Linked DNA regions of Coturnix japonica. The main gene of each other region encodes a partner of the protein of the gene in region 2 in a complex. Links are inferred from orthologs where the notes say so. Each region holds a gene or a part of one and is shown on either strand. Other genes may lie near its edges. The genes, in order: PIGO, PIGF and PIGG.

Region 1 (2,365 bases), on a different chromosome or scaffold from region 2:
CAGGCAGACTCTCTCAGACTGAGCGAGGAACTCAAGCAGAAGCAGTTAGGATGCATGAGTCAAAAAAACTAAGCAGAGACCAGAACAAAAATTGAAGGAAGAATCTCAGGCAAGCAGTCCTCAGCTCTTTCCAGAGGGGAAAGAGATGAAAAGTTTCATAGCACCAAATAATGCCACACAGTGGTTCAGGGCAGTAAGGAATCCCAGCTCCCATCAACAGTGCAGGGGGAGTTCAGCTGGAATGCAGCCAGGCACCATGGTCACCATCTTCCACTTCTGCCCATACAGATATACATCTGACAGCACACAGTCAAAAGCAGATTCGAGATAGCTCACTTGAAGCACAAAGCCTCATGCACAAAAGCAAGATCACTGGGTGATAAGCACCCAGTACTGGATCACAGATGCCATCCTCCACAATGCCTAGGATGCCATCAAGGTGACAGAAACTTCCCCAGCACATACATGGATTCCAGTGCATTAGGCCACCATGCAGGAGTTGTCACCTGCTCACAAATCTCCAGCAGCTGTTCTCAGCTCTCACCAAGATCAGTCCTGCAGTCAGCCTCACAAGACCCTCCTTTCTTCCTAACAAGATCCAATACAGGGGTGAGTCAAATGGTCTGTCACTACATCCTGCTAGCAAATAACTGTTCCTAATCAACTACCAACCATCCTGCAGCATATGCTCAGGAGGAGACCAAGAGCCCCAGCTGCTACAGCCCTGACTATATGGACAGTGCAGGCCAAGGTCATGAGTGAAGTTTTCCAGTCATGGACACCATTTACCCTGCTATAAATCTTCCCAAAAAACTATGCCTGCTTCAGGCTGTCCAAGACAGCCCAGTCAGCTCTACTCAGCCCCTAGTACTGTTTAGGAACATCAGAAAAACAGGAGTGAGTATAGGGCAGGAGAGGCCTCATTAAGAGCAATGAACTAGGCTGACAGGAAGGCAGGTGCAACCAAGACCCCAGAAACCATCTGCCAGCATAGCTGTGTGCACTCTGATTCCAGCATGAAAACGGAGCATGCAGAGAGAAGTGGTGGCTGTAGGACCCAGCAAGAGGGCAGAGTTATAGTAGCCTTTTCTCTCTGTCCCTCCTTAGCAGGCCCCTTCAAGTAAGTCAATGTCTCTGCACAGGCAAGATGATGCTCTCCAGGCACATTGCAGACCACTGCAGCCTACTAGCAGCACAGTTGGGGCAGTTTTTGGGAATGCACTAGCAAGACATCCTGCTGTTGGTTCTGCGGAGAAGCACCTCAGGACTCTTCTTGCTTCTTGGCTTCCTCCTGCTGCTAACAAATGCACAAGAGTTCCAACCTCAACCACTGAGAAGCATGCTCCCTGCAGAGCATCACAATGAACAGGGAACAGCCGGCACTGGTTCTTTTGCACAACATTGAGGCAGGGAGCGAGGGATAATCCCAAACTGCTGTCGGCAGGCACTCGTTGCTGGTGGCTGTTGAACCCCTCCTGGCACTAAGGAATCAGGGAGATGACCACAGCCTTGGCCGACGAGCAAGTCAGGTTCCCCACATCTTCGGTGCTACCTGAGCTGGAGCTGGCTGAACCAGGTGCTAACGGCACAGTCCACACGCATCACCAGGGAGATCCCCAGCAGGAGGCAGATGCTGCTCACCATGAAGCCCAGAGACTCAAAGAGGAACCTGGAGGCACAACAGATGCAATAAGGTATCATGCTACCCACAACCCCAGCAGATAATTTTCCCTGACAGTGAGGGACTGGTAGTACCACCAGTCATAAAACGTGGATTGCATTTATTCCTTAGAAGTGGATGCTGCTTGCGATCCAGAAGCCAACCATGCCTTTAGTTCCTTGCTGGTTTCAAGGCCATTCAGGAAGACATTAAAGTGGGATTTGGGAACTCCCAGAGGTCAAGGACATCCCACATGCCTACTACCCCAAAGGTTTGCATCTCATTTGTAGGCTGATAACACTACCTTTGCCTCTCTGCCCTGAATATTCTTTAACTTACAGGTGGGCTCTGGGCATCCTTGAAAATCAAGGAGAAAGGACTCTGCTCCAGTCTGAGTCCAGCTTCTGAACCTGAAGCAGGAATTAGTCAAGGCCAATTCTACAGCCTCTACTAGTGAAAAGTTATCGAAGATCAATCACATGGTCACTTCCAATATTACTAGCTAAGAACTATAGCCAAGACTTCAGCAGCATGAGCCAACACCCAGCATCAAACTAACTCCTGCAACTTACTTTGGGGCAAAGACCTTCCAGACCATGAGGTGCCTCCTGAGGATCACAGCTGCACACACACAGGCCAGAAGCTGTTGGTGAGACCAGGAAAATAAAGTTACAAGTGACACACTGCAGAGTCCTTCTGGGCAAC
Region 2 (3,659 bases):
ACAGGCTGCCCAGGGAGGTTGTGGATGCCCCGTCCTTGGAGGTGTTCAAGGCCAGGTTTGGACGGGCCCTGGGCAACCTGATCTAGTAAAGGTGTATGTTTGGTGGCCCTGCCAGGCAGGGGGGTTGGAACTACATGATCCTTGAGGTCCCTTCCAACCCGGGTCATTCTGTAATTCTGGAAATAATTTACAATTTTTGGTGTGTAGACTAGCTTAGTGTTTGCTTGTTTTTTCCAAGTTACAAGAAGATATAATTGTGTGCTCAAATCTAGTGTTCTAAGTTACAGCAATGGGATTAGCGTAGAATAAATAGTGTTGTTTCTGCCCCAAATGTCAGCATTGCATTATAAATATTATAAGCAGCATGAGTTTTATATTATGCAGCAAGCAGTAGAATTTGTTTGTCCTATGCTTATAAATGGTTCTATCAATATTGAGTGCAGCAGTGAATTACATGCTTTAGACTTCTGAGTACTTTAGACTCTTCAAAATAAGGGTTAAAGGTTTAAAGCTTTCATGTCACACAGACTAAATGTCACTTGTAAAGTTTGGGGTTTGCAGTTCATCTAGACTTTTAGCTGTAAAATGCCCATCTTCTTTCCTTCATTGGCTAAAGCTAGATTTGTGTTTATAACCCGAGATGGAGCAAATTTAAGATCCTGATCTTGTACCTTACTGATTTGGAGTAGGGCTTTGAATTCAGTTCAACTCAGTACTATGCCCTGCAGTGTTATGAAATGCACAAAGAACTCAGAAGTCCATGGCTTGAGGGAAGCAAAAATATTCACTCAGTAAACAGATGATGGACAATAAGCATTTACCTAATAAACAGAAACCCAAATTGTCCAAAACTTTTGAAGCCACTGCTGGTGGGAGGCTATAAACTGAGAACCAAAGTCACTAACATCTGTTATCATACACTACATGTTTTGATCGGCTGTGCAAGAAATTCACCAGCATGCAAAAAATTCTTCCTGCCTCCTGTGCAGTTGAACATGAATGCAGTGTGGCTTAAGAGGTGGAACATGCAGTCTGTACTTACTTTGCAGTGTTTATTTTCATGTCATTTGCTGCTGTTGAAATCCTGTAACACGTTGTTTTTACAGAGCTATGTCCATCTGGGAGAACAGCCTACAGATTACTACAATGTGCAGTATACTAGGAGGTTGGTTTGGAGCATTTCCTATTCCTCTTGATTGGGATCGGCCCTGGCAGGTTAGTATCTGCGTCTTTATTGTTAATTAAAAAACACCTGTTTTCCAGATATACAAGCTACTCAAAATGGCTCTGAAACTGAACAGATGTTACTTGGATTTACTTGTAAGTTGTTTCTGCAGGGTAGTGCCAGACATTTAAAAGGTCATTGGAAGCATCTTTTCTTACAGCATAAGGATGGAAAATGCATATTTTTTTTTACATATTAAGATTCTTTCTTGTAGTTCTATGAGTGTGTCTGCTGCATGCAAATTTTAATCACAAAATAGAGTTGTAAGGATAAGCTAGACAAGGGGAAGGAGAAATGTGAAATGATAAAGATTGCTCTGGGTTTGTCTACTTTCAGTCTGGTATTTTTTCTTCCTTATGGGCAGGGAAGAAATGATGCTCTCCCAGTGTTTCAGATCCATACAAACACTTAAGAGAATACATTTGAAATAGATTTGGATTGATTTGTGGAGATGGTGTGGCCAAAGAACTGTACTACAGTCTTAACTTCTGATTTCAGAGGAAGGCAAGGATTAGCTTTGTAACTGCACAATAAAAAATGCTTGCACTGCAGATTCCGTCTTAATATATTCTAATTGTCTGTGTTATTTTCTTCATATTTTTTTGTCATGGAGAAATGATTATATAAAACAGTGAAAATCTGCATTTGCCCTAAAATGATGATGTCGGTACCAATTTGCACTGAAGATCCTCAGTGGGTATTTTCATTACCTCCAGTTACCAACCTCTAAAACTCTCTGCTACACAATATCTTTGAGGCCTGTTTGTAAGCAGATGGTTTCAAAGGTGTATTTCAGAAATCAGTATAACAGCCAACATGCTTTTTCTTTCTGATACTGTGGAGACTTAGAGCTGCCATAGAAATGTGTCGTCCTGAAATAGCTAGCAGCCTTATGCCATCATAAGTAGAGGAGTAGGGTAGTACCTTACATATAAAATGAAGTTTTCCTCTCTAAAACGGCTTGGAATTATTTTTTTGCAAGGTACCTACATGAGACTGATGGTAAAGTATGTGTTGGCAACCAGTTAATTGTTGGCTGACCTTCCCTGATACTGCCTAAAAGACAAGGGGTTCATTGAAACGCAGTGTTATGTCCTTCTGCATTGAGAGACAAGCAGTTCTCTTCTTGCTCAGCTATGTTTTTAAATGCTGTGTCACATCTGGCAGTTTTTATTTAACTCTTTTGCTTACACCCAAGATTTGTCACAGTATCTTCACTCATTGGCATTTGTGTATTGAATCATTCTATGTAAGTGTTGATAAAAACTTGGATTTATATGAGCATATAATGGCATGTTGTCCATTTCCCTACTCCATTGACATTTGTCAGAAAGAAGTACTGAATGCTCTGTCTCTTCTTTCTTTGGTGTCATTCACAAAAGAAAATCTAAGAGTTGCATTTCCTAGTATGGGACTTGGTCTTGGGTGAAAATTGTGTGTATGAGTGTAGCACAGTTGGACAGGTCAATGTGATGGTACTATTGGCACGATAGAAGGGTGCTATAAGGGAAGAAGATTGCTCACTTGTGTCAGGTTTGCAGGGAGAAACTCCACCAGGGAGGGATCTCCAGAAAGACCCTTCCCCAATGGCAGTCAGCCCTTAAATGGGGTCTAGGAGAGGTACAGCCAGGCTCCACCCCTTCCAGTCACACAGCTGAATTGCCTTCACCTGTTCACCCAGGGCTTTTTCTGCTTGAAAAGTCTTCAAAGTCATACAAGCTGAACATAACAGACTTACTGAAGTTGAGATCTGGAATCTGTAAATCTAAAAACTCATTATCTGACTCCTCCGGACAACAAAGAATTGGCAGAATCCTCAAATATTGTAACTTGTCACTAGTTGTTTCTGCAGGCATGAGTGCTCCCCACTCCATGTTTTACCTTGTGGAATTTAAAATAATGGGGTGGGAGAAGAAATCTTAATTTCCATTTTGAGTCTGAAGTGCTGGATCATTAGTTGAATCATCGTCTGAGTAATCCAAGAGGTCAGATGAATGGAGAAGTTTGCTTATCGGATCTGCAAGCTGCCATTTCAGCAGTCAGAAAATTTCATATTTAGGTGCTTTTTAAAAATTATTTTTTTTTTTTTTAAGGATCTGCTTTATAGGGAAAAATGAAAGAAGCTCTTTGTAAAAGCCTTTATATTTTATAGCTGTATTGCAGCGAAGCACAAAAATGGTAGCCAGTGTTGAAAGCAGGAGTGGAACTCCTTTAAGGAGGCTTCTTAGAGATCCTGTTCAAGACTCTCAGAGGTTTGCAGTTATTGATCTATTTACTTATTTATTTTAATGGTTTTGGCTTTAGTGTTTGGTTCTTTTTAAATTTGTTTTTCCTGAACATGAAGTCTTAAGTGTTGATAAATAAAGGGACAAATGTAGTTGTAAATTCACTTGCTTTAGGAAGAAAATATTTAGTGCAGGTTGACTTCCTGATC
Region 3 (3,659 bases), on a different chromosome or scaffold from region 2:
GTTAGAGGTTATAGCTCAAGCCATAGAGGAAGGGACATTCTTCAGTTGTCTAACCCATCTTCCAGCAATTGTCATGTTCAGATAAAATACTTCATTTCAGCAAAGGGAAGAAAAATGGGGTATCAAAGCACTGATTCAGTCTTGTAAGTAAACATGAATTAAACATGCAGTGGCTACATACAGATGAAAAAGTATCTCATACAAACCATCTCGATCTGTCTCCACTTCATGTCACACATATGATAAAAATACCTCCAGACAAATTTGAAGGACAGTCCTGGTCATTTATCACATCAGCCATCTAATCAAAGTGAGCTTGAATTACGCTACTGACATATCAGCTAACATCTGAAATGTGCTAATATGTCTACCATCTTATTTGGCATGCTGTTCCAAGAGTTTTCAGAAGACATTGTGTTTAAAGAGTCAGCAAATGTAAACAAGCGATGCTTCCTCTGTTAGGCCCTGCATTATAGGTTTAAGAAGCTCATATCTTAGCATAACCAGCTCACTTACAGGTGAAAAGTTCTGCTTCTTTCAGTAGGAATGGTTTGGGGGATATTTTATAATTGAATTGACCATTCAAATCAGAGGGACAACTATTTCATTAAATGTATACGGTAAAAGAATATATAAGGACTGTCAAGTTCCACCCTGAAAGTATCTTGTTTAAAGAAGAATCATAGAAAATAAAGACTACAGCATATACCTGTCCTGAGATGTATAAAATGAGCATCTGAAGTCTTGTAGGGTATTTGTGCTCACAGAAGCACAAAGATATTTTAGTAAAAATAATAATAATAAAAAAGCTACTTGTTAATTGCTCCCAGATAAACTGCCACTTCATTTCAAGCTGTGCTTTAAGTACAAGACCACTATATCTGCCAATAAAGCTTTATTTTCTAGAGCTTTGTTTCATTAATTTTGAGAGCACCTTTTAAATCACTATATAATTAGAGATTTATAAACATCTGACATGATTTAAGCACATTATCATATTCACTATTTATTTAAGGTGAAAGAATATAAAAGCCCTTTATCTTCCTTCTTGTAATTAAAATCACTATGATGAGTGCAGAATGAGTAAGTTCTCAGAAAAGGCTTTTGTCTTAAGTACTCCACTTATTTCTCTAATTGCATTCCATTTGTATCTCAATTCCTGTATTTAATGTTTTGTCCCACGCTGCAGTTTGTTGGGTTTTTTTTTCCATTACAACTCCAAGGACCTTACTAAAACACAAAAATGAGGTTAAACCCAGAAATGGATTTGAAGCACACATGCTTTCAAAATACACCTTCAATCACAGAGCAAAATTCTGTAGACTAAGTTTACCATTGCACCCATGAGTGCTGAAGGACCTGGCAGAACTGACTGCCAAACTACTCTCTGTCATCTGGGAAAGCTCACAGAGAGCGGGAGACATGCCAGTAGATGGGAAGAAATATCACCCCACTCTTCAAAAAGGGCAAGGACTCCAGAAAGTACAGTCCAGTCAGCCTCAGCTCAGTTGACCATCCCCTGGGAAGGGCATAGAATGATTTATGATGGATGTCATCTCTGAGCAAGTGGAGAAGAAGGTTGTCAACTACTGCTGACAAGGGGAAATTACTGACCAACCTGGTAGACTTCTATGAACATCTGTGTAGGTGAAGGGAGAGCAGGGAATGTCATATTCTTTGATTTCAACAAGGCTTATGACACTGTCTCCCATAACATCCCCATAAGTAAGGTCAGCAAGCGTGGTCAGAAAGGAGTGGACAGTGAGTTGGTCAAGAGAACCGACCGGTAGAGCTCAGAGGGCTGTGCTCAGTGGTGCAGAGTCTAGCTGGAGGCCTGTAACTAGCGGTCTGTAACTAGCTGTGTTCCCCCTGGCTACAGATCACAGAGCACTGGAACAAACTGCCCAGAGGCAGGCTGTGGAGTTTCCTTCTCTGGAGATGTTCAAAACCCACCTGGACACTTTCCTGTATAGCCTGCTGTAGGGAACCTGTTTTAGCAAGGTGATACTCAGAGGTCCTTACAACCACTACAATTCTGTGATTCTGACATTACTCTCACACTCAGCAGAAAGAACGTACAATGTTAACACTGGTCCACAATTAGAACTATCTTCAATATTTGGAAAGACAGAATGTATGTAAATACATCTCCATATATATGTATATAAACACAAAGATAGTTTTTAAAGATGCCTTATTAGCAAATCTGATCTATATGTCATAAGATCTTTTCCTGCAGGACTTTTTCCATATGTGTATCTTGTGAATTTCCATTCTCTAATTAAACAAACAAACAAACCACTTGTGTCTATATCAAATAAAAAATGAATGTGAAAGAAAGTTTATTTCATTTGTAAGACAACAGTTAAACTTGTCTTCCACAATCCGCTCCTCTTTGAATGTTCTTACTAACTCTGGAAGTTTTCCACAGCACTGGTATTTACAAGCCAGGTACAATCCAATGATAAAAAGCTCCACAAGAAAACTAAAGTGACTTAGCCACGTTCTAGAAGTAGTCCCTGGTAAAAATGCTAACAAATTCCTTACAGTTGCAACGACCAGCTCGTTAAGAAATTTACCATCCACATAAAAGTCCTCAGTATGCACTATACAGCACAGCCTAGTTATCAAGAACTTTGTTACAGTCATACATTACAAAAATACTCAGCTGAGAAAGGAAAATATGGAAAAGCAACACTGAATTACTGTATGATCATCCTTCAAAACTAGCAAATAGTTAAATGAATTTGACATGTTCTCTGCTAAATGTGGCAAATCCATCTAAAACATGAGGAGATGATGTATTTGGGGCTTCTTTCTAGCAAAAATACAGGAAATGACTACTGGATTTTCTTTCCTCTGATTAGTTCCTATCTAACTTCTATTCTGACAGAGTTGCAGGACACTTCACAAGGCTTAAAATTAAACATCACAAGAACCTGCACGTCAGTCACCTACAAAATATTTTTATTTAGTTTTACTCATAAGAGTTTTATTACAGTCAAAACATAACAGCCCTCTCCACCCTATCCCCCGATAACGAAAGCGTTAACACCTTTATAGAAACAGATTTACATATCTGTTGATTAACTTACTTTGAAATATCTTTGCTGTCACGTTGCCATGGAAATACGACATTTCCAATGGCTGCCCGGTAACTGTAGACTCCCAGAAGCCCAAGTGCCATAGCAATTTTTGAAACCAGGGAGCATCTTCTTTGAACCAGAACAAAGATCATAACGAGGGAAACTGCAGCCAAGACGGAGAGTTCAGACTTATGCTCAGAACTGCAGAAAAAGAAACACACAAACAACAAGAAAAAACTTCAAACCACTGTAATTACTGTGAAGCACATTTGACAGAGCCTCAGCTACAGCACTCTATTGCCAAATTAATTATTGCACTGAGATATGCTATAAATTTTCCAAGAGGTATGGTAAAATACTTTAGTAGTTTCAAAAAATTGATTTTATTAATGAGGCTTCCCATTCAAGAATGCATGCTTAAAGTGGAATTATTGTGTTCCACTATGTGCTAGCTATTCTCTTAATTATATAAAAACTGAGCTGCTTATTGCATAATGGAAAAGAGCAGAAGCTTTTAAGCTTGAATTTTCCTATTTATGCATTTTTAAACAGTACATTTTGATTATACTACAG

Evidence for each region.
Region 1: PIGF (region 2) and PIGO share a complex: the UniProt entries of both Homo sapiens proteins name them as parts of the ethanolamine phosphate transferase 3 complex. The link is inferred for Coturnix japonica from reciprocal best matches to the Homo sapiens genes PIGF and PIGO.
Region 3: PIGF (region 2) and PIGG share a complex: the UniProt entries of both Homo sapiens proteins name them as parts of the ethanolamine phosphate transferase 2 complex. The link is inferred for Coturnix japonica from reciprocal best matches to the Homo sapiens genes PIGF and PIGG.

What each region holds. Positions count from the first base shown.
Region 1 is NC_029547.1:7,848,064-7,850,428, forward strand, and holds part of PIGO (GPI ethanolamine phosphate transferase 3), read right to left. Parts: intron 2,304-2,365; coding exon 2,233-2,303; intron 1,670-2,232; coding exon 1,549-1,669; 3' UTR 1-1,548.
Region 2 is NC_029518.1:23,881,434-23,885,092, reverse strand, and holds part of PIGF (phosphatidylinositol-glycan biosynthesis class F protein), read left to right. Parts: intron 1-1,106; coding exon 1,107-1,215; intron 1,216-1,589; exon of another isoform or gene 1,590-3,659.
Region 3 is NC_029547.1:47,222,468-47,226,126, forward strand, and holds part of PIGG (GPI ethanolamine phosphate transferase 2), read right to left. Parts: intron 3,288-3,659; coding exon 3,096-3,287; intron 1-3,095.